Tamandua tetradactyla: one gene and its partners. The main gene of each other region encodes a partner of the protein of the gene in region 2 in a complex. Links are inferred from orthologs where the notes say so. Each region holds a gene or a part of one and is shown on either strand. Other genes may lie near its edges. The genes, in order: CDHR2, USH1C, CDHR5 and MYO7A.

The links.
Region 1: USH1C (region 2) and CDHR2 share a complex: the UniProt entries of both Homo sapiens proteins name them as parts of the IMAC/intermicrovillar adhesion complex. The link is inferred for Tamandua tetradactyla from reciprocal best matches to the Homo sapiens genes USH1C and CDHR2.
Region 3: USH1C (region 2) and CDHR5 share a complex: the UniProt entries of both Homo sapiens proteins name them as parts of the IMAC/intermicrovillar adhesion complex. The link is inferred for Tamandua tetradactyla from reciprocal best matches to the Homo sapiens genes USH1C and CDHR5.
Region 4: the proteins of USH1C (region 2) and MYO7A are in contact, whole or in part, in a crystal structure (PDB 5MV9), measured with the Homo sapiens proteins. The link is inferred for Tamandua tetradactyla from reciprocal best matches to the Homo sapiens genes USH1C and MYO7A. Residues at the interface, in NP_001284693.1 of Homo sapiens: Glu450, Pro456, Ile457, Val461, Val462, Ser463, Tyr466, Glu467, Lys479, Gly480, Pro522, Tyr526, Asp527, Asp528, Glu529, Leu530, Thr531, Phe532, Phe533; in NP_000251.3 of Homo sapiens: Phe1946, Val1953, Ala1976, Lys1995, Lys1996, Trp1998, Gln2017, Pro2020, Lys2021, Arg2024, Tyr2026, Ser2112, Ala2113, Phe2114, Phe2115, Glu2116, Val2117, Lys2118, Ile2128, Ser2161, Gly2163, Asn2164, Thr2165, Tyr2166, His2168, Leu2181, Glu2183, Thr2184, Ser2185, Leu2186.

The regions. Positions count from the first base shown.
Region 1 is NC_135346.1:58,007,346-58,014,825, reverse strand, and holds the start of CDHR2 (cadherin-related family member 2), read right to left. Parts: upstream 3,010-7,480; 5' UTR 2,745-3,009; coding exon 2,643-2,744; exon of another isoform or gene 2,589-2,642; intron 2,551-2,588; exon of another isoform or gene 2,016-2,550; intron 1-2,015. UniProt on the Homo sapiens protein: Intermicrovillar adhesion molecule that forms, via its extracellular domain, calcium-dependent heterophilic complexes with CDHR5 on adjacent microvilli. Thereby, controls the packing of microvilli at the apical membrane of epithelial cells.
Region 2 is NC_135334.1:93,048,048-93,055,119, forward strand, and holds the start of USH1C (harmonin), read right to left. Parts: upstream 3,009-7,072; 5' UTR 1,943-3,008; coding exon 1,874-1,942; intron 1,472-1,873; coding exon 1,404-1,471; intron 67-1,403; coding exon 1-66. UniProt on the Homo sapiens protein: Anchoring/scaffolding protein that is a part of the functional network formed by USH1C, USH1G, CDH23 and MYO7A that mediates mechanotransduction in cochlear hair cells. Required for normal development and maintenance of cochlear hair cell bundles.
Region 3 is NC_135335.1:485,102-491,993, reverse strand, and holds the start of CDHR5 (cadherin-related family member 5), read left to right. Parts: upstream 1-3,892; coding exon 3,893-3,965; intron 3,966-4,201; coding exon 4,202-4,377; intron 4,378-4,460; coding exon 4,461-4,511; intron 4,512-4,921; coding exon 4,922-5,014; intron 5,015-5,114; coding exon 5,115-5,216; intron 5,217-5,350; coding exon 5,351-5,461; intron 5,462-5,542; coding exon 5,543-5,713; intron 5,714-5,923; coding exon 5,924-6,014; intron 6,015-6,094; coding exon 6,095-6,192; intron 6,193-6,263; coding exon 6,264-6,464; intron 6,465-6,563; coding exon 6,564-6,677; intron 6,678-6,747; coding exon 6,748-6,844; intron 6,845-6,892. UniProt on the Homo sapiens protein: Intermicrovillar adhesion molecule that forms, via its extracellular domain, calcium-dependent heterophilic complexes with CDHR2 on adjacent microvilli. Thereby, controls the packing of microvilli at the apical membrane of epithelial cells.
Region 4 is NC_135334.1:67,926,739-67,933,642, forward strand, and holds the start of MYO7A (unconventional myosin-VIIa), read right to left. Parts: upstream 3,003-6,904; 5' UTR 2,693-3,002; intron 1-2,692. UniProt on the Homo sapiens protein: Myosins are actin-based motor molecules with ATPase activity. Unconventional myosins serve in intracellular movements. Their highly divergent tails bind to membranous compartments, which are then moved relative to actin filaments.

The DNA of each region.
Region 1 (7,480 bases), on a different chromosome or scaffold from region 2:
CAAACCAGTCAGAGATGGAACTGGAAGACCTCGTGCTCTGGGCTGAATTAATTAATACGAAATCACAATGGAGTAGGGTAAGCCCCTAATCCAATATGACTAGTGTCCTTATAAGAAGAGGAGAGGAGACACAGACAGACACATGAAGAGAAGACAGCTATGTGATGACAGAGGCAGGTTGGAGTGAAGCTGCCATGAACCAAGGAATGTCAGGACCCACCAGGGGCTGGAAGAGCCAGAGAAAGATTTTTCCTCAGAAACCTCGGAGAGCACAGTACTGCCGACACCTTGATTCCAGGGCTTCTAGCTTCTAGAACCAGGAGAGCAGAAACCTATGTTGTTTTAAGTCACCAGTCTGTGCTAGGGCCAGTTTGTTACAGCAAATCAGGGGACTAATACCCCATCCCTTCTGACTCCCAGCCCAGGGTTTTCTCTTGCGGCATTCCTGCCTCTTTCCCATACCACCTGGATTCCAGGCTATCTTGCCTCCTCTTTGTCAGAGAGCCTTTTCCCAAACATGCTCATTTAATCATAATGAGGCCAAAGTTCTACAGTCCAGAAGCGTCATCCCTTGTGTTCAGTCACTTGAGAAAAAACGTACAGCGCCCACGTGGGCTGGGGGAGGTATAAGGACGAACTAGCCCAATGAGCCTTCTAACCTCATTGGACCGAGTCATCCCCAAAGCTCAAACCTTCCCATAGCTCCCACTGGCAACAGGACACACTACTGCTCTCAGCCTGGCCAGCAAGAGTCTCACGGACCCTGGCCTCTCTTTCCCAAGCTTCTCTCCTTTCCCCACTGTGGCCCAGTGGCGTCTAAAGCTCCTGTGCTCATCCACACCCCACACTTTCCTCCCTCCTTGCATTTGCGTGTTCCGTTCCTCTGCCCAGAACGCCTTCCCTTGCCTCCCACATGTGTGCAAATTCTTTCCATCCTGTAAGGTTCAACCCAGCAAGGCGCAGTGCTAGACCTGCCTTGTTCATCCCCACCTCCCTTCCCCAGCAGGCTTAAGGACAGAGTAACTAGGAACGAAAAATCAGTGAATGGAATTCACCATGGACTGGTCCTGGGGAAAGGTCTTGACAAAGCCATGGAAGCCCCTTTCCCAGGTCTCTGCCACCCCCCAGGGAGCTCTGAGGGACCCCTTTCTCCTCCTCAGGCCAAGGTCTGGGACTGAAGTGACAGGCACATCAATTCCAGCCCCCAGTCACTGCCCACCACTCTGCCTCTCGGTCTGCCCCTCTAAAACATGGGGACAATCTACGTTCTAGAGATGACAGTTTCCTATCCCCAATTCCCACCCCACTCCCCGCTTTCAAAGAGTAGCTTCCGAAATGAACACAGGGGTGAAATCAGGGTGGCTTCTGGGCGCCCACCCGTTGCCCACCCTGTCTGCCTGAGGCATTCAGACTCCTGGGAACCGTATCTGGCTTGGAAGGGGCAGACACACCCTGACCACGGGGCCCAAGGTGCAGCCCTGCCTGCCCAGGGAAGTGCTGGTGCCTCAGTCTCAGCTGAGAGGTGATGTCAACCACAGTCTAAATACTGTGTGGCTCTAAGACCTCCTATTACAATCTGGAATCTCTGGGAATGAGACGCCCCCCCCCCCCCCCCCACCAGGCCTGCCCAGAGCCTCCGGGAGGGCAGAGAGGGATGTGCCTCCTCCTTGCACACTTTCACTTCCATTTTCTCACTGATTTCCCAAAACTGTTGCCCAGGTAGGAATTATATTTCTGGGTTTCCAGTGAGGAAACTGGGGCACAAAGAAAGTCAGAAACGGTAGCCTAAGAGCAAGGGACAGAGGTGTTCAATCCAGCCTGTCTCCAAAGCCAGGAGTCTCTGGGCAAGCCAGGCACAAACCCAGCCAGTGTGGCCTGTGGCAGGGATGGGGGACCCGGGAGGGAGCTGGGTTTCCTGCCACTGTGGTCCCCTACAGTGCCCATCCCCCAGGCTGCTGCATCCAGCACACAAAGAGTCAAATGGCCCTGGGTTCAGAGTCCAGCTTTTCACTTACCTGCCGTGCAACCCCAGGCAAGCCCTTTCTCCTCTCTGTGCCTCAGTTTCCCTTGCTGAGAAGGGGACGATGACAAGGACCACAAAGTCCACATACCGGCCACGGCCTGTTTCAATCAGCTGGACCTTAATGTCGATTGAGTCTCTGCTTTGTACTTGGTGCCCCTATCCCTCAAGTTCCTGCTTCAGGGAGGTGGCCTAGGCCTGGCCCCGGCTGTCAGCTGAGTCTCTGTCTCAGACGCCATAGTGAGGCGATGCGCCAGGCCCAGGAAGGGGCCTGAGCCCAGTGGGTGTGATTCCAGAGTTTAGTCCTGGCCTGGAGCTTCCTCCAGAAGGGACCTTGGGGTAACCCCACTTCCCTTCATCCGGGACCCTCCATGAGTCCAGTGACCCAAGCAGTTGGAAGGAAAGGGCGCCATCAGAACCCTGGGAAGGAGGTATCATTAACCCCACCTTGCAGAACCTGAGACCCTAGGTGGGCAATGGCTCCCTCTGGCCGGGGCTCCCACCCAGCTGCCAGGGGACACTGAAAGACACCCAAAGCTCACGTTGGTCCCCACTGGCCCCAGCCTACCTCCCCCTGACCAGGAGACCCCACCGTGCCCCAGTCGAGCTGCGGAGATCCTACCTGTGCCCCGGAAGGGGCCGCAGAGGCGGCAGGTGGGCACTGGCAGGCACAGGTGCTCAGCTGGCAGACTTTGGCACTATACCCGCCTCCCTGGGCAATCATTAACCCTGCCGGGGACCGCACCTCCTGGAGTGGGGCTGATGCCTCAGGAGACCCGACCCAATTGAGGAGGGGGCTAGAGGCGGGACTGAGGCCCAACCCCGGGTCAGGCAGGAAGTTGGGAGGAGGATGGTCCGAGTGTGACAGTCAGGTCCCGTAGTCCCCTCTCAATCACAAGAGTCCTCAGTGACACGTGATGCATGGGGAAGCAATCAAGCATGTTAACGCCTGGCTCAGTGAATGCTGCGACAGCTGTCATTATCCACCCTCTTTGACTTGAGGTCTTCTCAGGGTATCTACCCTCCCTGAGGTACCAGGCCCCCAATTCCTTCTACTCCTGCCACAGTGGCCCAAGGACCCCTGGGTTGACAAAGGACAGAGGGGGCCCTAGGGACAAGCTCAGAAGCCCGAGCCTTCTGCCCCTTTCTGGCTGGATGGCTTAGAGAGGTTACTGCCCCTCTCCCTTTGAAACCCTCCTGTTTGGATCCTGAGGTGCTGGTTCCCCCACCACTACCTGTGCGGGTGGACTGGGGGTAGTCAGCCCAGGACGGGTGCTCAGTGCGCCCCAGGTGTCCCAAAACAGACCAAGAGCTGCAAATACACTTTGACTTCATCCTCCCACCCCCCAAGCTCCAGGGAAGCCCTGGGGGGAGATGTCCTTGTGTGTTCCAGCAGTGGGAGTCTGCATTTATTGAGCACCTTTGGTGTGCTTTACATCACGCTCTCACTGACTCCCCTTATCACCAGGGAGAGGCAGGTACCCTTATAATTATCCCTGATGGACAAATGGCTGCGCCAGCTCCAGGGACCCGCCACGTGGAAAGGGGAGGCGGAGGAACCCCACCCCTTACCCAGCCTCTCCTCACCTTCCCAGGGCCCCCCTCATTGCTGCCCTGGCTGGAGGCCTCCCCCTCCCCCAGAAGGTTTTCCCTACTCCCTAGCAGGGAGCACCTAATGCTCTGCCTGCCAGCACCAATTCTCACTCCCCCTGATAACAGCACCCAAGTTTTCCTCTGGGGGGCCTCCCCACCCCTCCTTTCTCCACCCCACCTCTGGCGGTCATGTGACCCATGTCCAGCCAGTCAGAGCACAGCATCCCTTTGGTCACTGTGATTGGCCAGGTTTGGGCACCCGATGCAAGGCTGGGCCAATAAGAACCTATGGTGGGTCTCATCCGCACAAAGAACAGGAAGTGCCCCCAAATCCCTATAGATGGGGAGAAGGATCAAAAGAGGAGGCGTTATAACAGAGAAAATAGGGTCTAACAAATGAGCATGACTGCTGAATCACTATATCGATATTTCTTCTAGCCTCCAGTGTTTTGGAGCAGCCAGAAGGCAAAAATGTGAACTAGTGGAATGGTAACCCATAACAAACTTTGGAATCTGTTCTGTAACTACTTGTTAAAAATGTACTTTGAAAACTCTTTCTTTTCTTTGTATATATGTTATAGTTTATAATAAAAAGTCTTTAGAAAATGATAACCCCTCCCCCCCAAAGTGATTCCTTAGAGGTGTTTTAATGGGGAGGCAAAAAAATTTTGAAACTGGAGAGCCCTTCTAGTTGTGCAACATTGTCAGTATATGAAATACCAATGAATTGTAGACTTTTGAAATAGTTCATTGTATGTTATGTGAATTTCACCCACCCCCAAAACAAAAAGAATTAATGGAACTCCAAGAAAGGACTTTGGTTGAAACAGTTGAGAATGAGACCAACCTCCCCTGCCCTCCACCCTGGAATTTCTAAGTTGTAAGAAAATGACTCTGGGGATTCTAATGACTTTCCTACCACCAGGAGGGTAAAGTCTGATTGAGAAATAGTCAAAGACTGCGTGAAGCAGAGCTAAGAAATGGAGAGTCACTGGTTTCTCCTGACTTTGTGCGACCCCTGGATGCAGCCATGCCTGAAGCTATCGACCCTCAAGCTCTTCAGTTACTAAACCAATACATTCTATTTTCTTCTAGATCTGATTGAAGTGGTTTCTGCTTGACCACCATTCCCTTGAGGATGGAAGTCCCCAGTCCCTATATCGCCCCACCCAGGTGCTAAGGAAGGGGCACAGGGGGGTTACATTGGGAAAGGACAAAGTTTGAACTTGACTTGGTTATTTCCCAGCTACTAAACCTTTTGAGTGAGCACCTACTCTTCACTGTAACATATCAGACATCCCCATCCCTAACTCAGATAAAAAAAAATAATACTGCCTACTTCATGAAGTGGTTGGTGAAGATAAAATCAAACAATTGACATATGGCTCTTGGCATGGGGCCTGGCACACAGCACAGATCCCTGCCACCTGTCTGGGCTCCCAGAGTATGCAATCCATAGCTTTCTTAGGGCAAGTGTCCATTGACTCACATTTGAGAGTTATATGTCAGGGAGTTACTACATGCCAGGGTGTTTGTTCCTCAACCCCTCAAATTTGAAACAAATGATCAAAATATATATGCTACCACATGCTTTAAAAAGGCGAGGAAACTAAAAAAAGCAAAAGTAAGTGAGATAAATAAGGGACACGTAAGCCTCAATTAGTCTATAAAACATCTGCCTTTAAGTTCTGGGTAGGTGCCAGAGGTGGCCCATGATTTGGGTTGGAGCTTCCCAGTAGGCGTGGCAAAGAGGGAAATCGGATCCATTAACGCCCACATCCACACATTTAAAAACATATATACATCTATAGCCAGGCTCTGGGAGGTAGGGTGCAATTCCAAATCCTGATACATGAGAAGTGTTTCCTCCTGTGTGTCTCCAAGGAGAGGATGCTGGGGGAGGATGGACAACACTTGACACTAATAATAAAATATAGTGGTGAAAAGATCAGGCTCAGGAGTCAGAGGGCTAGATTCATTTGTGGCTGAACAAGTTACATAACCCCTCTAAGACTCAGTTTCCTTGTTTATAAATTGCAGGTAGAGTAACATATGGCACCTACTTCAGAGAAGTCAGGCATTTTTAGTCCTTAGTACAATGCCAAACACAAGGGTGTCTGTGAATGCTACTATTTGTGGGGGTAGTGGTGGTGGCTGTGTTATTAGCACTAATAGGATCTCATTTAATGCTCCCAACAACCCTAGGGATGATTACAGATGGGAAAATAGAGGACCAGACAGCTTAGATCACCACCTAAAGGCGAGACTCTCTGCAAGAGACAGAACCAGGATATGAGCCCTTGGCTGTGCCGCTGTTCTTGCCTCGGGCTTCCCTACCCCAGCCGCCAGACTCCTCTCTGGAGGAAGCAGGTGCTAGTTATTGTTGGTGACTAACTGGTAGAAAGAGAAGATGACCCCACCCCAGGCTCCAGGCTCCTGCTCTACCCCAGCTGCCCAGCCTCAGGGTAGGACAGACCCCAAACCTCGGGGCCAACAGCGCTGAGCCACTGCTCCTGGCCTGCCCAGACCTTTGGACAGCACCTGGATGGGCCAGGTGTGGCCAGGTGTGGCCCTGCCCATGTCAAGGGGTGCCTGCCCACCTGGCCCAGGGCAGCCTGCGAAGCTTGCTGGGCTCTGGGCTGAAATGACTCAGGTCAGAGTAACAGGTCCGGGCCCAAAGTCATCTTCAAGGGAGTGGACCACCAGACAGAAAATGGGGCTAAGAGTCCAGAATGTGAATTCAGGCAATCTGGGTCCTAATCCCTTCCCCACCACTTAGCAGCCTTGGGAGTGGTACTTCCTCTCCCTGAGCCTCAGTGTCCTCATCTGTAAAATGGACAGAATGGCAGAACCTGACTCATATATGTTTGTTGTCCAGACTAATTAGATAGTGTAAAGCACTTAGCACAGGACACATTACAGAGCAACGCATCCGTCCGCAGACATGAGGCAGCAATTCAGATACTCATCAGGGTTCCTTTGCAGCCACTTTCTTAGCTGTGTGTATTTTTAAATGTTTGATCTGGAAAACCCTTCATTGACTGTCATTCTGTGTGTTCAGAAACTGATCAAAATGAAATCAGCTTGTCCTGACTAGCTGTATGACCCGGGGGGTGAGTCACTCCTTCTCTGAGCCCCCATTTCTTCATCTGCAGCATGGAGACCCCCCAACCTCCACCCCGCCATAATATACTGTGTCAGAAGTAAACTGGGGTGTCTGGGCTCTTTGCTGTGAGTGCATTCAATCCCTCCTTATCTTCCCAGTCATCCCTTCACATTGCCAGGGCTTTGCAGGGTGCAAAGTCCTTTCATCACTCTGTTTTACAACCAAGGGACCAGACGATGAACAGCCCCTGAGTTGGAGAGACTCAGAGCCTTCTGCCCTTTAGAGAACTTGGGACTCGTGATACCAACTCCTCCCCACACCCCGAGACCCCTGAATCTGCCTTCAAGGCACGAATTCCCTCTAAAAACCACCCCATCCCAATACCTGTCCTGCCATGATTTGCACACTTCCAGTGATGGGGAGATCATCTACCATAACCTCCATTCCATGGAATATGTTTTATTGAATTGAGAGCTGACCGGTCACTTCCACCTGTGCCTGTCCTCTCTGGGAGCACCAGCCTCCATTTCCTCTCTGTTCTGGGATAGCTGGTCAGAACCTCCCTCTTCCAAACCCTTCCCTAGGGATTCCTTTAAGTACCCCTTCTCAGCCCTCCCACTCCAACACACAGGCAGGGTTTGCAGCCAGGTAGACCTAGGCTCACTTCAGTCTTCCTGGCTGTGTGACCTGGGGCAAGCCACTCTCCCTCTCTGAGCCTTAGCTTCCACATCAGAAAAACAGGGGGAAGTTAAACAAGGAGG
Region 2 (7,072 bases):
GGCAGACGGCTGGGCTCGTTGATGACCAGCTTCAGGTCTCCCACCAGCACCACCACGTCCATGGTCCTGCAGAAACACGGGGGGCGCGTGGAGCCAAGCCCCTGGCTATGATCCCTGGGAGCCACGGTGCAGCTCCAGCCTAGAGCCTCACTGCTGGGCCTAGGTCTGGGAATCTCTGTTTGTCCTTGGAGTTTTGTTCTTTCGTGTATGTAGCACAAGGAAAAGCAGCAACAAGGGATTGTTAACCCAGTTTGCAGATGAAATGGAGCCAGGATTCAAACTTAGCTCTGCCTAGTTCTGAAGCTCAGGATCTCTGCAGAAGGCAAGCCTCTGTGTGAGACGTTGCCACCCCTCTCGTACCCTCACCTCCGCTTCTGATGCTAAGTTCTGTAAATTCTACACTTGCAATATCTCTCACTTCTTCACTCTGTTCAGACCCTTGATATCTCTGCCTGCTCATCTCCAGTTGCCTACTGACTAGCTCACTCTCATCTAATCTTTTCTAAATGTAAGTCACTCCATTTCTCAAACCCTTCCATGGTTCCCAAAGAGAGCAACAGAACGAAGTCTATTCTCCTTGGCAGGTTCAGGACCTTCCACGACCTGTCTCGGTGGAACTTCTCCAGTCTCTGTGTACTCCAAGTTCTATTCCCCTTGATCACTTATCGTTTCCCATTTGCACCCTGGACTTTCATGCCTCTACCCCTTTGCTCATGCTGATGCCACATCCTCGAATGCCCTTTGCTGATATTCCATCTATCAAAATCCTTATTTCTTGAAACCTAGCTCAAATCTTCCTGGTCCTTCCCTCCACAGTTGGAAGTGAAAATTCTGCAGCGTGTGGCTTCTAACTCTCCTGAGCAGTTGTTCCATTGTAACTTATATTAGACGTCTTGGCATATGTGGCATCTAAAGCACACCCCTCAAATGACTCAAGGAAAGAAAGAGCTTTCTTACCAATTTCTGAACCGGCATGGTGCCCAGAAAGTGACAAGAGCTCATTCATAAATGTATGGTGAATGCATCAAAAAGCAAGCGGGTGATTTTAGACCTCTGTCGCAGGGGCTGGGGCCGGCTTGCATGTTTTGTTCCATCTCAGAACTGACCACACTCTGCTGAACCTAACTGGCTGCTTGACAGTCTCTCCAATCAGATTGTGACAACCTGAACTAGGGATTGGAGACACACTTGTTTGAGCAAGACAAGCTCAAAGTCAAGCGCAATGTATTCACTGAGATGACTGAATGGTATGTCCATTTGATTCCCAGGGGCACTGAGAAGCTCAGTGCCTCCCTGAGTTGCCGAGGAAAAGACATCCTCTTGTCCCAGAACAACCCTTCCCAGGACGTCCTGAAGGCAGAGATACCCAGGGAGGTCCACGGGGCTGGACCCAGCACACTCACTGGTGGTACATCCGCAGCACGTCATAGAGATAGTCCTTCTCTGCATCATTTTCAATCAGAAAATCCACCTAGAAATCCAAGGGCAGAATTATAGCTCCAGGCTCAGCATCCCCATTCCAGCTCTCCCAGAAGGGACCTCCCCAGCATCTCCTCTTGGCTGGGGTTATGAGGAGAGGAGGGGAGTCATGCACCAGGCTGCCCCTCCAACTACAAAACCTCAGACCTATGCAGGCCACCCCAGTGTGGCCACAGGGGTGAGTTTGCACATCCAGATGTAGCCAGGCTAAGCCCCGTCCACAGATAGGATTACCAACACACACATAGGGATGCACACACATTTACACATATGTGAACTCCCACGTGACAGCAGTGTGCCCCCATGGGCATGCTGCCATTCACTCCCATGTCTGTGTCCAGGACTGGCAGTGCCAGTGTCAGCTCCCCTGTCGGAAAGAAGCCCCTTGTCTTACCTGATAGTGGCTGTAGTGCCGGACAAACGCTTTCAGAAAGGATTTAGGCCATTCACTCAGATAGCACATCCCACCCACAGGAGGCACCCTACCACTGCGCTCCCCTGTGACCCCAATGCCAGGGGAATGCTGTCCTGTCCTGGACTCGGCTGGGTTGGCCCTGGATCTGTCCACTGGTCATCCTCCTGGCCACTCCTTACCCCTCCCTGGGCCCCTGCACATCCCCCCATATGGGGAGAGTCAGGTTACAGCACTTCAACTTTGTTGACGTCAATGGCTGGGACTCCAAGGTCAGGTTCAGGTGCTCTTTTCATTAGCACCTCAATTCTGGGGCAGCTGGTGGCCCAAGAGACCTGAATTCCCTCCCTGGGAGAGCTCCGTGGGAATCTCAATCCATTGCACCCTTGGGCACTCTCTTCAGCCCAAGACTGAGAAATAGGGCACAGTGGAGGCTGGCGGGGGGTCTTGGGTTCCTCCCCCAGCCTCCATGCTCATTGGCATAGTCTAGGCCCTAAGCCCCTCACTGGGGGAAGCTGCCCCTCGAAGCTGTGAGCGTCCATCTGGGTGGCCCTCAGAGGAAGGCCAGGGTAGCCTTAGCTCTATCTGTGGGGAGCTCATGGGTTCTGAAGGATTGGGGGCACAGAGAACACACTGGGCCAAACCCTTGGGATTTCTGACACGAGCAGAGGGCGTAGAATGCATATGTCTCCCACCTGGCAGCGCTCTTCACTCTAAAATCAGACTGAGCAGTTCATCAAAGAGAGAAACAGCCTAGGATGCTTGGGCTTCAACTGCTACAAAAATTCACCCCACCTGCTCCAAAAAGGGCACTCCTACCCTCTCCCTGCCTCACCAGACTACCCAAGGGTCTTCTAAACAGCTTGAAGATGGGGCAGTAAAGCATCTGCTGGAGTTGGTGGTACTAAATCTTGGGTGGTAGCCTGGGCTCTTGTATACACCATAAAATGGGCCCTTCTGTCCATCTCCATGAGGACCCAGCTTGGAATGCTCTACCCACTCTGCTGGACCTACATGAGAGGGGTGGGCAGCCACAGGGACAGCCCGGGCTGCCCAAGCTTGGCTATGATGGAGGAATCTAAGCAGAGAAAGTTTTGAACTCCCCTAGGAGAAATACAGATTTTTAAAAATATGGATTAGCAAGTGACATATCACTCTCTTGTTCAATAGCTTCTCATTCCACTTAAAACACAAATTCAAACTTGACTTACCAAAGTTTAACTTCATCCCCCTCCACACTCCCCTAGCTACTTGGCCTCCTTTCAGTTCCTCCCCAAGGCCAAATTCTCTCCTGCCATATGGCCTTGGCATACACCGTTCCTTCTTCCTGGATTGTTTACCCCTTTCCCTACATGGCTGGCCAACTTCCCAAAGAGCTCTTCTCCACCCAACTACCTAAAAAGAACTAGCTCCCATACCCTGGGGGTTTTCAATTCCTTTATAGCATCAATCACAATTTGTACTTAAAAGTTTGTTTGTTTATTGGTTTGTCTTCTTCTTATAATGGGAGGGTGGAGTCTGTTTCATTCTAATTTCTTAGAGCCTAGAATATAGTAAGTGGTCAATAAATAAGTAATGAATGAATTTGTCCATCTTCCTGCCTCCTGGTATGCCCAGAAAAGTCGGATGGGAGTGAACGAATCATGGGAAGAGGAGGAAAAGGGAAATAAAGTTTGCAGAGTCCCTGTGAGCCTCCACGGGGTGGCACTATGAGATTTTCATGAGCTTTATCCTGCTCACTGTATCACACCAGCCCTGTGAGGTGTATGCTCACACCATTTTGCAAATGAGGAAACTGAGGCTTAGAGTGGGTAAGTCAACTGACCCAAGATTCCATATTCCATTTCAAGAAGCAGAGCAAATATCTATGTTTTCTCTGCTGCATCACACAGTGTGTGGCTCAAGCCTTTCAGGGAAAAATACACCCAAGACTGCTTTAGGCCAAAATTTGAAAACCTTTGCTTTCAGAAAGTTATCCTCACTTCTCTCCTCTGCACTATTAAGAAAATCCTTTTGGTTTGGTCCACATTGAGCAAGAATACAGAATATCTTTTGAATGACACTTTGAATAGCAAATGTTCTGCTCTCTTAGGGAAGCATGAAAATCCCATTTTCCTTGGTTGGAATGAGGATACTCCTGACCAAAGAACTTCTTGCTAACTCTAGTTGTGTTCAGTTACATTAGAAAAAGGATAGGAGATGGAATCTCTCATTGGCTGATGCCTTAGGACTGAAGTTCTCTTCCATCCCTCTTTGCAGAAATGCACGCATAGCATCATTAGGTTTATGAAGTGATGAGTTGTCCTGGGTAGATAGTAGAAGACTAAGGAAATTTCCAACCTTAGGTTCTAGGATTCTGTTTTTCTGTCATCTCTGGGCCAAGCACAGATTGCTTGGAGATGGTGTTGATGGAAAAAAGCCTGTTTCTGTGGGCTCAGGCTCCTGGCCTTTGTGGGAAGCCCTCCAAGGCTGCCCATACCATCCAGAGGCCCCCACCTAGAAATTGCATCCTACCAGTGTCCTTCTGAGGCAACCTGTAGAGTTCAATTCTCCAGCCTGTTGTCCCCCCACTCTCCCCTGGTTAAGCTCACTCATGATGCGGTCTTCAATCCTACCCTAATCCTTCTCCAGAGTCATCTCCTTCACATCCCACATGGAACTTTGACTGCAGCCAAACAGACCCTTCCCTGGACACACTGAACTTTCCTTTCCCCATATTCACACTAAACATCCGATCTACCTACACAAATCCCTACCTATCCATTAAAAATACATATTTATATATTATAACAGCTAGGAAAACATATTTGATTTATGTAGAATGCTCCTTAAATATGAATCTAAGTGATAAGCTATCAAAATGTTTCTTACATAGGAGATCCATCAAATTAGGCAGGGTTGTGATTCTGATCATTCCCTCCCTCCCCCCGCTACCACAGAAATGTCTCCAAAGAGACTCAGAAATAATTCACTGTTTACTTCTCTTCCCATAGCTGAGAGAAAACACACACCACATTCACTGCATTGCTAAACCTGAGAAGGATGGAAGTTTTTCTGGAAGCTTGAACTTGCAGTAACATCGCCACCATGATTCAAACTTCACTTTTTAAATATTAAAAAAAATTATACTGTATCCCTTCCTCTTGGCATCTGGATTCTCACAAACTCCCCAAGAGGGTTTGCCTGACTCAGCTCTAGGGCGCTTTGATCCATTTTCCCAACACTTTGCACTCAGCTTCCATGAAAAGCACCTGGCACACAGCAGGGATTCAAAATTCATTCCTCCCTGCACTTGTCCTTGATCTTGGCTTCCCTTTGCACAGAGGTTCACAGTTCTCAGTGGTGTCTGCTGAGTGATGATGAACTCCAATTGCTCTAGGCTAGAGCCTTCCACCCATCTCTTGGTCATTCCTGGGTCACTACCTTTCCATCACTCTTCAGCACACATTGGTTGTGGCCTCCTGGATGTCTCCAATCAGTCCCAGATCCACACATGATAGACTCTCCTCCCTCCGCCCATCTGAACACTGCCCTCATTTAAGGTTCCCCCTTCTAAAGTCTCTCCTGACCATGCCCAGCCCAGAGCCTGCTCACCTGCCTTCAGGCCCAAAGTTCATTTTGCCTGGCCCAACTCATTCTGATCAGACTGCACTTAGGTACACCACGTCTGTCTGGGGAACTTTATACATGTTATCTTTAATTTCCCAATGAACCCTCTGAGGTGGATATTATGATCTCCATTTGATAGAAGAAGAAATAGAGTCTCAGAAAAGAGACTGTCTGACCTATGCCTCCCGGCTCCAAAACCCTTTCTCTTCCCAAGCCACTGCATGGTATCCGCTTACCATATATAATTGTCTTGTATGCACTTGTCCAATATACGTTTCTTGAGCACACACTGTGTGAATGACACCCTGTCTTCTTTCTCCAACTAGACTTAGAAAGATTTTCCTTTTCTTGGATCCGCCTTGATACTGGGTACAAAAAGCCTACACGGTCTATACCTAGTTGTTGGGGGTCTCTTTGTCATATCCCCACCCACCTCCAATTCCCGTCCAGCTTGTATTGGATGCCCTCAGTCCAGCATGGCTTTCCCTATTGATGGTCAACTGACTCTGTGCTATCAGCCTGTACTGGGGGTGGGGGAGGGGTGGAGGCAGAGGGAGGGAGGACTGTGTCTCACACCTCCATCCTCACATGGCTTGTGACCCTTGTCTGCGCATCAGAGGCAAATTCTGGGTTTGGCCTTGGGGCCCTCTGTAGCCTCATCTCCCTGCATACCCTGCCCTTCAGGACAGCCACCCAGCGGAACCACACACTTAACTCATGCATTTAACCACACAGTTAACACAAATTCAACTCCATCTGTGCACCCAGCCAAAGGAAGGGGAAAGAGAGCAAGAGTGATTTAAATAATGCATGTCGTTCCACTAGATGAATGTCTCCCCTCCTCGGGCTGTTGTGATGATTAAATGAGTTAATATATGGAAAGCACTTAAGACACTGCCCAGGACATTTCAAGGGCTCCACAGTGCATGCTGGACCTTCATCCTTTGTGCTCTTGGACCTCTCTCCAGCCTTCTCCCCAGTGCGCTATGTTCCAGGATGCTTCACCTGTACCTTCTGGCTTCCTCCTGCATTCAGCCAGGGAGGACCACAAGCAAAAGCTGAGAAAGGATTGGGGGACTTTCACCCCAGCTCCCCCTCTGCTGGACCACACCATGGCAGGTTTCTCCACCGAAAGCTGGAGCTCGTGTCTGGGCATCTTCCATTCTCCCCCTATAGCCTAATCCTCAGTTCTGGTAACCCCTCCTCCCTCCGCCCCTTCAGAACGCAGCTTCCTGCTGCTGCCTGTCCCTGGGTGTGTTGTCATCCTTTTTTGGTTCATACATCCCTGCCCTTCTCTGTGCATGTTCACCCTCGTGTAACTCTCTCCTGATGAGTCGCTTCCTTCCTGTCCCAACCCTGGCTGATGTGAAACCTTGGCTACCGGCAGTGGCAATAACGGTAGCATCCCCTCTCTGTGGAATCCCTGCCTCGAAGACTCACCTCCGACCCCACCTCGTCCAGGTCAAGTCTTTCCTTAGACATGGCCGCAGAGCCGGGCATGTTGTTCTCTGAGCCCACACCAGCATTCTGTTCCCTCTGTGGCCAGGGGACCCACAAGCTCTGTGGTCACTT
Region 3 (6,892 bases), on a different chromosome or scaffold from region 2:
GACACAAAAGGGCAGCTAGTTTATGATCTAACGGGACATTAAATAATTAGAACAGGCAGACTCACAGAATTATGGACTAGAATATGGGTTATAAGGGGTGGTGTGTGGACAGCGTGGGGGTCCAGGCTGAAAGCGCGTTTCGCGGATGGGCGGTGCTGATGGCAGCCCAGCATTGTGGGTGTAATTAACAGCCCTGAATTATATATTTGAAGGCGGTTAAAAGGGGGACGTTTTAGGTTGTATATGTTGCTAAAACAAAATGTTTAGAGAATCCATGGAGCTGTACAACACAAAGAGCAAACCCTAAGCCAGGGACTAGTTAATGGTCAATTATAAAACTCTCATCAGTTGTAACTAATGTGCCACACCAATGCAAGGTTCCCAGGATTTTATGCATGATTATCCTTTAAACCCTCAATTTCTCTAATAAAAAACATTCATATGGAATGGCAGAAGGGCCTGGAGGTCCTATACACTTTTGAAAAAGAAAAAAAAAAAAGGAGGACTTACACTTCCTAATTTCAATACTTACTACAGAATCACAGTCATTAAAACATACGGTACAGGCGTAAGGACAGACATACAGCCAGGCCGACCGGAGTCCAGCGGCCAGTTGGCTTTCCATAGGGGAGCCAAGTCCTTCCGGGGAGAGAAGAGCCCCTCTAACTGCGCTGGGACACGCGGAATTTCCCTGCCATAGAAGCTGTGTGGACGCGACCTCCCCTCCCCACAGAAAGAACTTTGGTTTCCTGAGTTTACTTGGATTTGTGCTTACGGACCTCACAAGAACCGGTTCTCAGAAGTCTAATCTTAATTAATCCTGCATGGACCCCGCATTTTTCTCGGTGACCCTCACCTTTCCAGCCTTAAATAGGGCTCTGGTCTCTCCCATCTCGGAAAATAAAGATGTAAAACCCGGTGATACCGTTTTAATCCGCCCTCCGTGCAGCTCTCTGGTGCCTGCGTCCAGCCTGCACCCGGCCTCACCCCGTGGCCCCCCCCTCGCTCCCTACGGCCTCCTGCGGCGGCCCCTCCGCAACGTCCGGGCCTTCCTACTCCTTCTCCGTCCAGCCCCGACCCCCTCCCCGCCCCCGGCGCCTCCCACCCCCCACCCACCCCTCCCGGACCCCTTCGTCCCCCTAGCAAGCTGTCCGGCCGCCCCCACCCCTCCTCCAGGCCCGCCCGCTCGCGGGACAGTGGCCGCTGGGCTCGGCGCCCGCCTCCTGAGGGTGCTGGGCGCAGCTGGCGATGCTTTGCACGTGCTGCTCCGTCTTCCTGCGCGAACCGCGCCCAGGAGGCGCCCTCCCCATCCCGAAGCCTCCCTGGTGCCCGCGGGCCGAGGGTCCCGGTTCCCGCCCCCCCTGCACCGCCCTCGCCCCCGGCTCGCCAAGGGGCGCCGACGAGGCCGGGCGACAGCTGGGGGGGCGGCCCTGACCTTCCCGCGCGATCAATGGGGCGCGGCCCGGGCTGCTCGGAGCCAGGGCGGAAGCCCGCGCCCCCCGGCGCCGCCAACCCTCCCGTCCCGCCGCCTTAAAAGGGCCGCGCTGGGCTCCGGCCGCGGCCGCGAGCGCTCAGCACCGCCCCGGCGCGCCGCGCTATGGGGTCCCCGGCCGCCGCCGCGCTCCTGCTGCTGCTGCTGCTGCTGCTGGGCCGCCCAGCCGCGCGCCCCGCACCCCCCAGGTGGGTGCCGCCCCTCGCCCCCGCTCCGTGCCGGTGCCCCGGACCGGGTCCTGACCCCTCCCGCCCCCGCAGGGCCCCGCGCCACTCGGACGGGACGTTCACGAGCGAGCTGAGCCGCCTGCGGGAGGGCGCACGGCTGCAGCGGCTGCTCAGCGGCCTGGTGGGAAAGCGCAGGTGGGGCCGCGGCGCGGGGCGCGTCCGCGAGGGGGCGGCCCCGCGTGGCTGCAGCGGCCCCGAGTTCAGCGGGGCCCCACCCAAGTCCGGAACTAATTCTGATTCTTTCTGGGGGTCGGGGCTGCAGCGTGCCGTACCGGGCCCCGCGCGCCCATCCCGCAGGCCTGGTGAGCTCCTCTCCCGCCTCCCAGGACCCCGCGCCCTGCGGGGCTCACCCCGCACCCCTCGACCTGTCCTCGGTCCCCTGTAGGACCCTTCTGTGGCAGCAACTGGACCTGGCAGTGGACAGGTGGGCTGGGAAGGTAAACACAGTCGGTGCTAGTGAAGCCCGGTTTCCCCAGGGCTGTGTGTAGGGGGTGGGGGGTGGGGTCTGCAGCCTCCCGTCCCCTGCACTGGTTCATCTCTGCAGGACGCCCCTGAGGGACCCCTGGGCCGGGCCTGGCCCTCTTCCAGACCCAGGGCTGGGATCAGGATTTTGGAGCCAGCGACCGGGCAGCTAAAGGAGCCGTGAGGTCCGGATGGCGGAGGCAGGACGTTCTCCCCGGCGGCAGACAGGACGGGCCGGCCGGGCGTCGGGCGGGGCGGGGCCTGTGCTGACCAATCAATAAAGGAAGAATTCGAACCCTGGCTCCGGAGCCCACCCCGCGCGGCGCCTGGGTCCCCGGGGCAGCCCCAGCCCTAGGCAGTGCTGACCCCTCTTCTTCCCGGTTCCTTCTTCCTTCTCGCCAGCATCAGCGCCACCTCCCTCCCCTCCGGGAGCTCCCCTACCGGGAGTCCCCTACGCACCCCCAGCCGTCCACTAGGCAGTGCAGGGGTAGGAGGCTGCGGACGCCCCCTCTCAGGGGCCATGTGAGCAGGAGTGGAAGGAGTGAGGGGCTCGCTGGGGGCTGAGAGGCTGTGGGGCCGAGGGGACCGGCTGGTGGTCCCCGCGCCGGCCTGCTGATGCCTCCCAGCCTGGGCGCCGGGCCGGCCATGATGCCTCCTGGGGACAGGGTCACAAAGCAGCGTCAGGGCCAGGAGCAGGCAGTGACCCCATCAGCAAAGAGAAAACCGAGTGCTGCTGGGTTAGGGAGCAGCTGGTACGAGGCCTGGGGGCGTGAGCTCCATCTCTCCCCTCTTCTTGACAACTCCCCTCCCTGTTTCACCTCATGGTCTCTCCACAGCTGCTGACCTCAGGACTTGGGGAGGGGGGATTTGATGGCCAAGGAGGGACGGCAGCAGGTGGGGGGGAGACCCAGGGTCCCTCCCCAGGAGCTCAGCTGTCCTGTCCCATCGCTCTGTCCCCTGCAGAGCCCACCTAGAAGCAGCTGAGTTGTTTCTGGCACTGGAGGTGTAGGAACTCAGAGCCTTTCCCCCTCAACCTGGGGAGCTGGACTGCCACTGCGACCTCAGGAACTTTGAGAGAGACCTTAGGAGACTAGAGACAAGTAGAGGGCAGGCTGGGGACTGGGGACAGGGGACACACCAAACTCAGAGGACAAAGGCATGGCTGCTGCCCTTGCTCCTGCCCCAGCCCCAGCCCCCGCCCCTGCCCCAGCCCCAGCCCCTGCCCCAGCCCCAGCCCCTGCCCCTGCCCCAGCCCAGGCCCAGCTCCTGCCCCTGCCCCAGTCCCAGCCCAGGCCCAGCTCCTGCCCCTGCCCCAGCCCCTGCCCGAGCCCCTGCCCCTGCCCCAGCCCCTGCCCCAGCCCCTGCCCCAGCCCCAGCCCCTGCTCCTGCTCCAGCCCCAGCCCCTGCCGAGCCCCCGCCCCCGCCCCCGTCCCCGCCCAGGCCCAGCTCCTGCGAGCAGGTGTGGATCCCCTTTCCCCCACTCTGTGTCCCGGCGTCTGTGCACTGTCTTCTCCCCGGAGGCCCCCGCCCCCCCTGCCCGGCACGAGGCCCCACTGGAACTGGCTGGCGGAACCGCCTTGGCGGAGACTGGAAGTAAAGGGCCATAAACCGGGGCGGCGCCTGGCAGGGGCGAAGGTCGCCGAGGCTGCGCCAGCTCAGGCCGCCCAGGGTTGGCGCCAGGCACCACCGGGACCCTCCTGCGGGGCGCGCCATGGGCGCTGGGGTCCTGCTGCTGCCGCTGCTGGCGGGGCTGCTGGGCGGAGCCCCTGGCGTCGGGGCCCAGGGTACGGCGGGGTCCCGGGTGGCCCGGAGCGGGGGTCCGAAGAGGCCGGGCGCGGGGTGCGAGGCGCGGGGTTCCAGGGTCCGAGGTAGCGGCGCGTGGGGGTCGGGCGTCCCGGGCGGCGGGGCGCGGGGTTCCGGGGTCGGGGGCGGGGAGGCGCGGGGTCCGGGGTCTGCGGCGGCAGGGCGCGGGGGTCCGGGCACCCAGCCAGAGCACCCACCCTGCACTCCCATCGCGCAGCCTGCTCGGTGAATCAGACGTTCTTCGAAATCGAGGAGAACAGGAATTGGACGGAGCCCCTGGTGGACATCTCCGTCCCCCCGGACCAACAGGTGACCCTGGGGCCCTCTTCCACCCCGGGCGCATTTCAGATCATGGAGGACCGGCTGTTTCTCACCGTGACCCTGGATTACGAGGTGCCGGTCCAGGCAGGGCAGGGCGAGCCCCTGGGGGGCCTCCATGGAGTGCCCGCGGGTGACCCCCGCCCTCTGGCCCGCAGACGCAGCCGCTGCTGCAGGCGCACCTGGAGTGCAAGAGGGGGGGCGCCGTGGTAAGTGCCGCCGGGCTGGGCTGGGGTCGCCCCGCGGTGGGGAGCGGCCCCCAGCCCCGCCCCGCCCCCCATCCCCCGCCCCGACCTCCCTGGAGCCCACTGCCCCCGCATGGCCTTCAGGACCCGCCTGTCCCGACGCCCGGCCCCGCCCCCCCGCCTCCGCGGGCCCCTCTGCTCGTCACCCTCTTCCTGGACCTGCGCCCCCCCTCCTCGGGGGCTTTGACGAGGCCCCCCGCAGCCCCTGACCCTGCTTTAGTTATTTTTTAACCTTTTCTTGGGATCATTTCAAAGGTAGGAAGTTGAGCGGAGGTAGGAGCCCGGCTCCGCCCTCCCGCCTCCCCAGGTCCCCCGCGAGCTGCGCCCCCCACGGCCCGCTCCCGGGCACCTGCCCACACCGCGCCCGCCCGCAGGTGACGCAGCTGCGCGTGTTCGTGTCGGTGCTGGACGTCAACGACAACGCGCCGGTCTTCCCCTTCCCCAACACGAGCGCGAACGTCAGCGAGGTGAGCGGGGCGGGGGTAGAGGGCGCGGGGCCGGGCGGGGCGCAGGGCGGGCGGCCGGGTCGTGCGCGCATGGCGCGGGAACGCGGCCCTTTCTCGCCAGGACGCGAAAGTGGGCTCCATTGTCATCCCGGAGACAGACCTGGAGGCCAAGGACCCTGACAAAGACGACATCTTGTTCTACACCCTCCAGGAAGAGACCCTGGTCCGTGCTGCCCACCCCCCCTCCGGCCCCCCCACTCCCCCCCACCTCTTGACTCCCCCCCACCCCCACCGACTCCCCCACAAGCTGCTCTGCCTCCTCCCAGAGTCTCAGGCTGCGCCCCCCCCCCCCCGCAGGGTGCCAGTCACTTCTTCTCCCTGGTGGGTGCCAACCGCCCCGCCCTGAGGCTGGACCAGCCACTGGACTTCGACAGGTGGCCGGCCATGACGTTCCGGCTGCTGGTGCGGGTGAGCAGCCCCCCACCTCCCGTGCCCCCACTGAGCCCCAGCCCCAGGCACCCGGCCTGAGCTGCGGGGACGCTGTTACAGGACACCCCGGAGGAGGGCGCCCTGCCCGGCCACACCGCTATGGCCACGCTGACCCTGAAGGTCCTGCCTGCCGACCTGAGGCCCCCCTGGTTCCTGCCCTGCGTCTATGCGGATGCCCACGTCTGCCTGCAGGCCCAGTACCAGGGCGCCGTGCCCACAGGGCAGCAGCTGGTACAGCGGGCAGCGCTGGCCGGGTGTGCACAGTGGCTCCCGTCAGCGGGCCAGGGTCAGGGCTGCGACCATCTCCATGGTGGTCATTTTAAAACAAATATACAGGGCCCTTCGTGAGGCGTCTCCCCAGCCAGGCAGTGGCAGGGGGTTGGGGAGCGGCATGGGGGGGTCACCAGCTCAGCCCCCACCATCGCTCTGTGGCCCCTGCAGCCCGACCCTCTCACCCTGCGTCCGGGACCCATCTACGCGGTGGACGGGGACCGGGGCCTCAACCAGCCCATCGTCTACAGCATTGTGGACGGTGAGTGGCCCCCACCTCGGCAGAGGGCACCCCGGCCTACCTGCCAGGGTCCGGCTGAGCCCGCACCCCCCACCCCCCAGAAAACAGCGATGGGATATTCACCATCAACAGGACGTCGGGGAACCTCACCATGGCCAGGGGCGCCCCCAGACCCATGACCTTTCACCTACTAGTCAAGGTGCGGTGGTGCGGGCGGGGCGGGGGCTCCCGGTGTCCCTCCTGCACTGACCCCCGCACTGCTGTCCCCAGGGCGAGCAGGCCGATGGCGCCCGCTACTCTGTGACACAGGTCACCGTGGAGGCCCACGCCACCGCTGGGAGCCCACCCTACTTCCCCCACGGCCTGTACCGCGGCCGCGTGGCGCTCGGCGCCGCAACTGGCGAGATGGTCAGGGACGCCAGCGACCCGGCCCGGCCCCTGGCGGTCCAGGCCCAGGACCCAGACTTCCCGGTAGGTAGCCCAGCTGCGGGGGCGCCCGGCCCAAAGCCCCCACTTGCCTGTCCGGCCGCGTGGGCGTTGGGGTTCCAGGAGTCACGAGCCTGTTTCCAGGGCATCAACTCGGCCATCGTGTACAGAGTGACCAACAGCTCAGAGTTCAGGATGCAGGGGGAGCTGGTGCTGACCGCGGCCCCGCTGGCGGCGGCCGGCCACCTCTACGCCCAGGTGAGGTGCGGGTGGGCGGACAGGGGGGCCCGGTGGGAACTGAGAAGAGACCAACCCCCTTCTGCCGCAGGTTGAGGCCAGGAACACGGTGACTTTGGGCACAGCGACCACCGTCATTGAGGTTCAGGTGTGGGAACCAGAGACTGCCCCCACAGGCAGGCCCCCAGGTGAGCCCCCACCCCCAGGAGGCTTTCAGGTGAGCCCCCCGAGTCCCC
Region 4 (6,904 bases), about 25 Mb from region 2:
CCAGAAGACTCCTAGCAAGTAGCAAGTCCAGCCCCTGACCTGGACATGTAAGCAAAGGGGCCCAGAGAAGGACTGAGACTTGTTCAAGGTCACACAGCAAGGTGCAGCAAATTCAGGCCTAAGGCTTGGTTTCCAGACTTCCAGCTCAGAGCTGCCCCAGGAGTAGGGCAGCCTGGCTTGGGGGGAAGCTCATGGTCTGAGCATGACCTGCTCAGGGCACACCCTGCCTAAAACCCTTCCAGAGTCCCCACTGCCCTCAGGGTGGAGAGCCTAAGACCCCCAGCCTCTTTTTTACTTTAACATTTTTTATTATAAAATATAACATATATACAGAACAAAGAAAGTAAAAAGCAGTAATTTTCAAAACACCCTTCAACACGTAGTTACAGAAAGGATCCCAGTGTTTTTCATGAGCTACCATTTCATCATCTCATATTTTTCCTTCTAGCTGCTCCAAAACACTAGAGCCTAGAAGGAATATTAATGTAGTGATTCAGCAGTTATATTCATTTCTTAAACCTCATTTTCTCTCTTAACCTCCTCCTTCTCCTCTAATCCTTCTCCCATTCTATAGGGATCTTTGGGGAATGTCTGTTCTCAATTTTTCATGTTGAGAAGGGGTGTCCACACTGAAGGATGGAGGGTATAATTAATTGATAATCCTGGAGAGGCTGGTCCCTCCGAGTTTCAGGATTTATCTGACCTAGGACCCCTCTGGGGATTATATGTTCCAGGAAGGCAAGCCTAGTGCATGAAACCTTTACCGAGTCTCAGTTCGAGCCCTAGGTGTTCTTAAGAGTCAACAGGAGTGCTGTTGAGTGGGGTTTAGCAAACCATGGAACTGAGTTTTATCTAACTGGAACTGAAGCTTGCATAAGAGTAGCCTCCAGGATAGCCGCTCAACTCCATTTGATCTCTCTTGGCCACTGATGTTGTTTTATTACATTTCTCTTCCCCCTTTTGGTCAAGAAGGCATTGTCGATCCCACAGTGCCAGGGCCAGATTCATCCTCGGGAGTCACGCCCCACGTTGTCAGGGAAACTCTCACCCCTGAGTGGCTTGTCCCGCATAGCAGGCAGTGTAACAAGTTTCCTTGCAGAGTTGGGTTTAGGGAGAAAAAGGCCACATCTAGCAACAAAGAGGCTTCCTGGAAGCAACTCTTATGCCTCCTCATGAGAAGTCTTAGCTTCTCCCCTACAGTAATAAGTTTCATAACAGCAAGCCTCAAAATCTAGAGCTTGGACTATTTTCCACTGGCTGGGAGGGTACCCGGGGTTTCTCAGATGGGAGAGTTTACCTGGTTCTGTATATTATATTTTCCCCCTTCAGATCCTCAAGGGACTCTACCAATATGTTTTAATTATCAGCCCTCCATAGTCTTAGATGTGTCCTGGCACTGCACCAAACCATAAAGAATTGCAAGGCCTTGTTCCTGTTCTGGACTCCAGGAGTGTGGGCTGTCCAGATGAGCTAACCGGAGAGCCCTGGCCCCTTCTAAGGCTCTGCACGATCTGGTCCCTGCTGCTGTCTGTCTTGCCTCTTACTGCTTCCTTTCTTCCCCACCCCTGCCCTTGGGCCATCCTTAGCAACTCCTCGTTCCTGAAATATGCTAGCTCTTTTCATACCTCCTGGCCTTTGCATACACCATCCCCTCTGCCTGGAATTCTGACCAATGAATACCATCTATATCTCATGACTCAGCTCAGATGGAACCTGCCCTGGAAGCCCTCCCAGATCACCCACAGCTGCCAGGAGCCCCTGCATTTCCCTCTATCCTGCATTTCCCTCTATCCTAGCTCTGCTTTGATGTGCTATGTTGTCTGGGTGGGTCCGAGTCATCTCTGCCTCGCCAGCCTCGTCCAGCACCAGACCAGGACCAGAGTCCTGTGGGGCTGAGAGTGGCCGTCAAAGGCAGATGGCCGTGGACCCTGGCTCGGGGCCCCTCCGCCCCCCCCCCCGCCCCCCCCCCCGAGAGGAGCATCAATTTTTCACCAGGGCCCATTCAGAGGCTCTGGGGCATTTGATCTTCTGCCTATGGAACTGCTGACACCTGAGCCCTGACCCCTGCTCTGGAACTCCGGGACACAGCAGGGACACAATCCTTCCAGAGGCCTGCCCCCTGCCTGGGCACCTGGCAGGGAGGTGAGTGCAGCAGGGCCCGCGGGCAGCTGCCGTGGGGAGATGTGTCTGAAGCGCCCGGCTGTGGTGCTGGCATCGGCCCCAGCAGGAGCTGCCACAGCTGGGGTCAGAACCGATGATTTCATGACAGAGCCAGGGCTGCAAGGGTTAGGAGGGCAGTGAGGGCGTATAATTTTAAGGGCCATACAGAAGGAAAAAGCTACAAGACATTTTTTTTTTCTAAAAATATGAACTAAACTGTGCATAAGTTAACTGCATTTCAAATTGACAACAGGAGACACCGATCTGTATTTATGTGCCGTGCCTGGTTTTACATGTTCCTTGTTTCTTCCTTCTCCAGGGTCCTAACTGCCATCCTTCCAGGCTCAGGACATTTTCAATCCCCGCCCCCAACACACACACACACCACCACCAAGTGCGGCAGGAAGCTTGGGAACAAATGGCTGCGGGGCACGGAATCCAGCAGCAGCCGGACCCCTGCATCTTTCTGCTGCTGCAGGGTCTGAGCAAACCTTACTCCCAGTGCCCAGGGCAGAGGGCAGTTCATCCTTACCTGGGCCCCCGCCGCACCCTTTCAGCTGCCACCTGCGTGCAGGGCTCAGGAAGCTGGGGTCATGAGTTCAGGCCAATCTGCAGACACCTTCTTCCCTTCTTCTTTCTTGCTCCCAGGTTCTCTCTGGATGTCTCTCCAGGTCTTTCAGTTTTTCACTGTCTCACTGGATGTCTCTCTGTCTTGCTGGGTCTCCATGTGTCTCTGCATCTCCGTCTCCCTTTCAGTGTCTCCCCTTCTCTCCTGTCCAGGGCAGCTGTCCTGCCAGCACTGCCCGCTCTCTCCTCTCCAGTCCAGAGCCTTCTCCCAGGAGGCGGAGCCAAAGGGGGGCCCTCCGAGGCCTGGGACCCATGACATCAGCTTGGGGGCGGGCTGTGCTGGGACCAGAACTTCCAGAGGCTGTCCAGGGCTCTGTGTGAGCACCCGCTGGCCCGCGAGGAAACAGGGACACGGGGGCTCTCTCTACCTGGGTGCTGACCAGCATGTGACCTGGACCAGGGGCCACCGTCCTGGCCTCAGTGACCTCCTGAAGTATGCACTAACACCACCTGCTCCCACTCAACCTGGGCTGGAAGCCGCATTCTGATCCTGACATGGTCACTGATTTGTTGGCATCTCAGCCTCTGTCCTTCTCTGAGCCTGTTTTTTCTCTTCTGTTAAATGGCTGCTTGAGACTGAGAGGAAAATGATCAGGCAGGACATGGCAGAAGGTAGGGTGCTGAGCAAGACCCCGTATTTTGGCCCCTTCTCCCCCCTCCCTGTGCACGCGTCTCTCCCTTTAAATCCCTGCCCCAGACCCACTTGCCAAGGACTGCCCTCAGATGGGTATCCCGAAAGCTCCTCAAATCAAATAATACCCCCCAACCTGTTCTGGGAGTGGGTACGTGCTGTCGTGTAATCACCCAGGAGACTTTGCCAAAGGAGCTGACTTGGAGCAACCCTGCATGTAACAGGGACACATACAAATTAAAGGGAAATATGTGATTTATAAGGGAAGGGAAGGGAGAGAGGATATTTACTCGAATGAGTTGAAAACTTATGTCCACATAAAAGTCGCACATGAATATTTATGGCACCTTTATTCATAATTGCCCCAAGATGGAAGCAACCAAAATGTCCTTCAATATGAACGGCTAAACAAACTGTGGTACAACCATACAATGTAGTAGTATTCCTCGATTAAGAAAAAAAAAAAGCTATCAAGCTACAAAAAGACATGGAAGAATCTTAAATGCATATTACAAACGGAAAAAAGCCAGTCTGGAAAAGTTACATATGTATGATTCCAATTATATGACATCCTGGAAAAGGAAAAACTGTAGAGATAGTAAAAACAGCAGTGGTTTTCAGGAGCTCAGAGAGAGGTGGTCCAGGATGGGTAGGTGGCATGCAGGACATTATAGGGCAGTGAAACTGTTCTGTGTGACATTGTAATGCTGGATACATGACATTATATTTGTCAAAACCCATAGAACTGTGTAGCAGAAAGAGTAAACTTTACTGTCAACTAGACTTTAGTTACAAATAATGTATCAATATTGGTTCATCAATTGTAACAAATGTATCACACTAATGCAAAATGTTTTTAATAGAGGAAACTGTTGCGGGGGGAAATGGGAACTCTGTATATTCTGCATAATTTTCTGTAAATCTAAAGCTACCCTAAAATAAAGTCTATTAAAGCTCTGAGAAAAAAATTTTGTACCAAAAACATAAAATGAAAAAGATGTTTGAGCCACATAGACCCAGAGTTAATATTCTTCTGAAATAGGTTATAAAATGAAACATATAAATCTTCGTGAATAAACAAAAAATGCTAGTAGGAAATTTGACAAAGACTATATGGATATGGTTTATGAAATAAATGTATGATCAGACCACAAAACATAAAAATTATTTGCATGTCTTAGCATTTAAATAACCAAAGTTTGATGAAGTAATGAAGTATTGGATTATTTTTCTTATTAAATAGAAGCCTGTACTTTTAATTATCATACCCACAATTATGAACACTTGGAAATGGGTATTCATATATACAGAGGTTAATAAATAAATGTACACAACATTTCTAAAAGCCCACATTAGTTGAAATTCAAAAATTATAAAAACTTTATGACATGGTCCTTTCTATGAATTTTTCTTAAGATTTATATATTTTAAATCTGTTTCTAGCTGGTTGCTCCACACAGCATTTCTAATATTATTTAAAACCTGAAGCCAACCCAGATGCCTTAACAGAGTGAATTAAGGAAGCACATTGAAATCATCCATACGTTGGAATAGAATCTAATAAAAATATTTTAAAATTGTACAATTGAAAGTGGTTGCAATGGACCATTTAGGTTGCATATGTGTTATTACAATAAAAATTTTTAAATACATAACTTTTAAAAAAAAAAAGAAGGGGGGACTACACAATTAGCGTTTGTTATTAGCACTGGCAAAGACAGTAACGTGGAGGCCTCCTTACTGAGACCCAGCACTTTCTCATTACCGCCCTTTGCCTACAACCACACCTGGAAGCTGTCCCCACTCAGTCCTCTCCAGGGACAGCCCTAGGCCAGGTAGAGGGACACACTCTAGTACCCCCAGGCTCTGTAATGGGGATGTGTCTGCAAGAAAGGGACCTCCTGCCGCAGCCCAGAAAGGGGTTGGAGGCCCAGCAGCGCCACCTGCTGGTCACAGGCACAACATCCCAACTGCGATCCCATGGAGCAAGGCAAGGCACCCAGCCTCTGTACCTGGGCTGCAGGTGGGCAGTGGGGTGCTGGGAATGGAGGTGGGGTCAGGTAACAGGTCTGGCTCTTCACTGGCCATTACGTGACAACTTGCCCCAACCCACCCCACCCCCGGCCTGGCCATGCTTTGATAGTGGTAGAAAGGCGTGAGCTTTGGAGTCAGCTTGGCCTATTTCTGGCTGTCTGACTTAGGCAAGCCCAACCTCTCTGAGCCTTCTATTCCTCATCCTTAAAATGCCAGGATAATATTCTCCTTAGGCAGGGTGGGGAGGGGGCGCCATGAGGTTCCACCTCACAGTGGAGCAAAGCAGCTGCAGCCCAGGGGCAGGGTGCTCGAGGCCCCAGGAGTCAGCAGTGGCAGCTGGAGACCAGGAGGCTACTGTCCCTCAGAGAGCAGGGTGCCCCAGGCAGCCAGAGCGGAGCATGTTGGCCTGAGGCTCAGCCTCTGCTGGGGCCAGTTCTCTCTGACCAGACAACCCTGAAAACCCCTGACAGGAGTTGCTCTGGAGTGGACTTCCACCTGCTGGTCCTACTTAGAACCTACCCCTCCACCATCACCTCATGTCCTAACCTTTGCCAGCTGGGTGAGGCAAGTGGGGCCAGCCCTGCCCGGATGGGGAAAATGAGACCAAGAGGGGGACATGCTTGTTCCCAAGGCCATGGCCAGCAAGCTGCAGGGACAAGCACAGGATACAGGTCTGAGCACAATCCCAGGGATGGGGGCAGAGTGGTAGGAGGTGGGGAGTGGGGGTGGTCTCCAAACATCATGACAACAGCTACCATCTCTTCACACCCGCTGCATAAAGGTACCACACTGAGGTCATCCTGGCTCACTTATTTTGCCCTCATCCTCCCTTCCCCATCAGCCCAATCTAGCATGGAGTCCTATATGCTCTGCTTCCTGAATGTATCCCGTTTCTCCTCACCCAACACCCCCAACTTCCTAGCTCAAGCTGCCAGCATCCGCCAGGGCTCCCTCCACAGCCTGCTCTGGTCTCCCCACATCCACCAGCACCCACCCCCAAATCCTTCTCTTTCCACACCCCCTCCCCCAGCGTGCGCGCGCACACACACACACACACACACACACACACACACAAACGCACACACTTGCCTCCAGTTCATCCATCAGCTCAGGGCTTAGGCCCTCCCTCCCTTGCCTGAAAGACCAGGCGCCCCCAACACCCCCTCACCAATCTACTGATTATCTCCTGCGCAACGTGTGTCATGACCAGAGCCTTTGTGTCTGCCTCCCTGCCAGTCTGCAGACAGCTCCAGAGCGGAAGCTGTGTCTGGGTCTCTGCATCCCCCAGGCCTAGATCTGAGCTCAGCACAATGCCAGTCCACACAGATGGCCTGAAGGAAGGAAGGATTCCAATGACCTCAGCTCCCTGATGCACTGGCAGGCAGAAGGGTCCAAAGTGACTCCCAAGTCCTCCCTGGCCAGAGAACCGTCACCCTGGCCTGCAAGTATTCC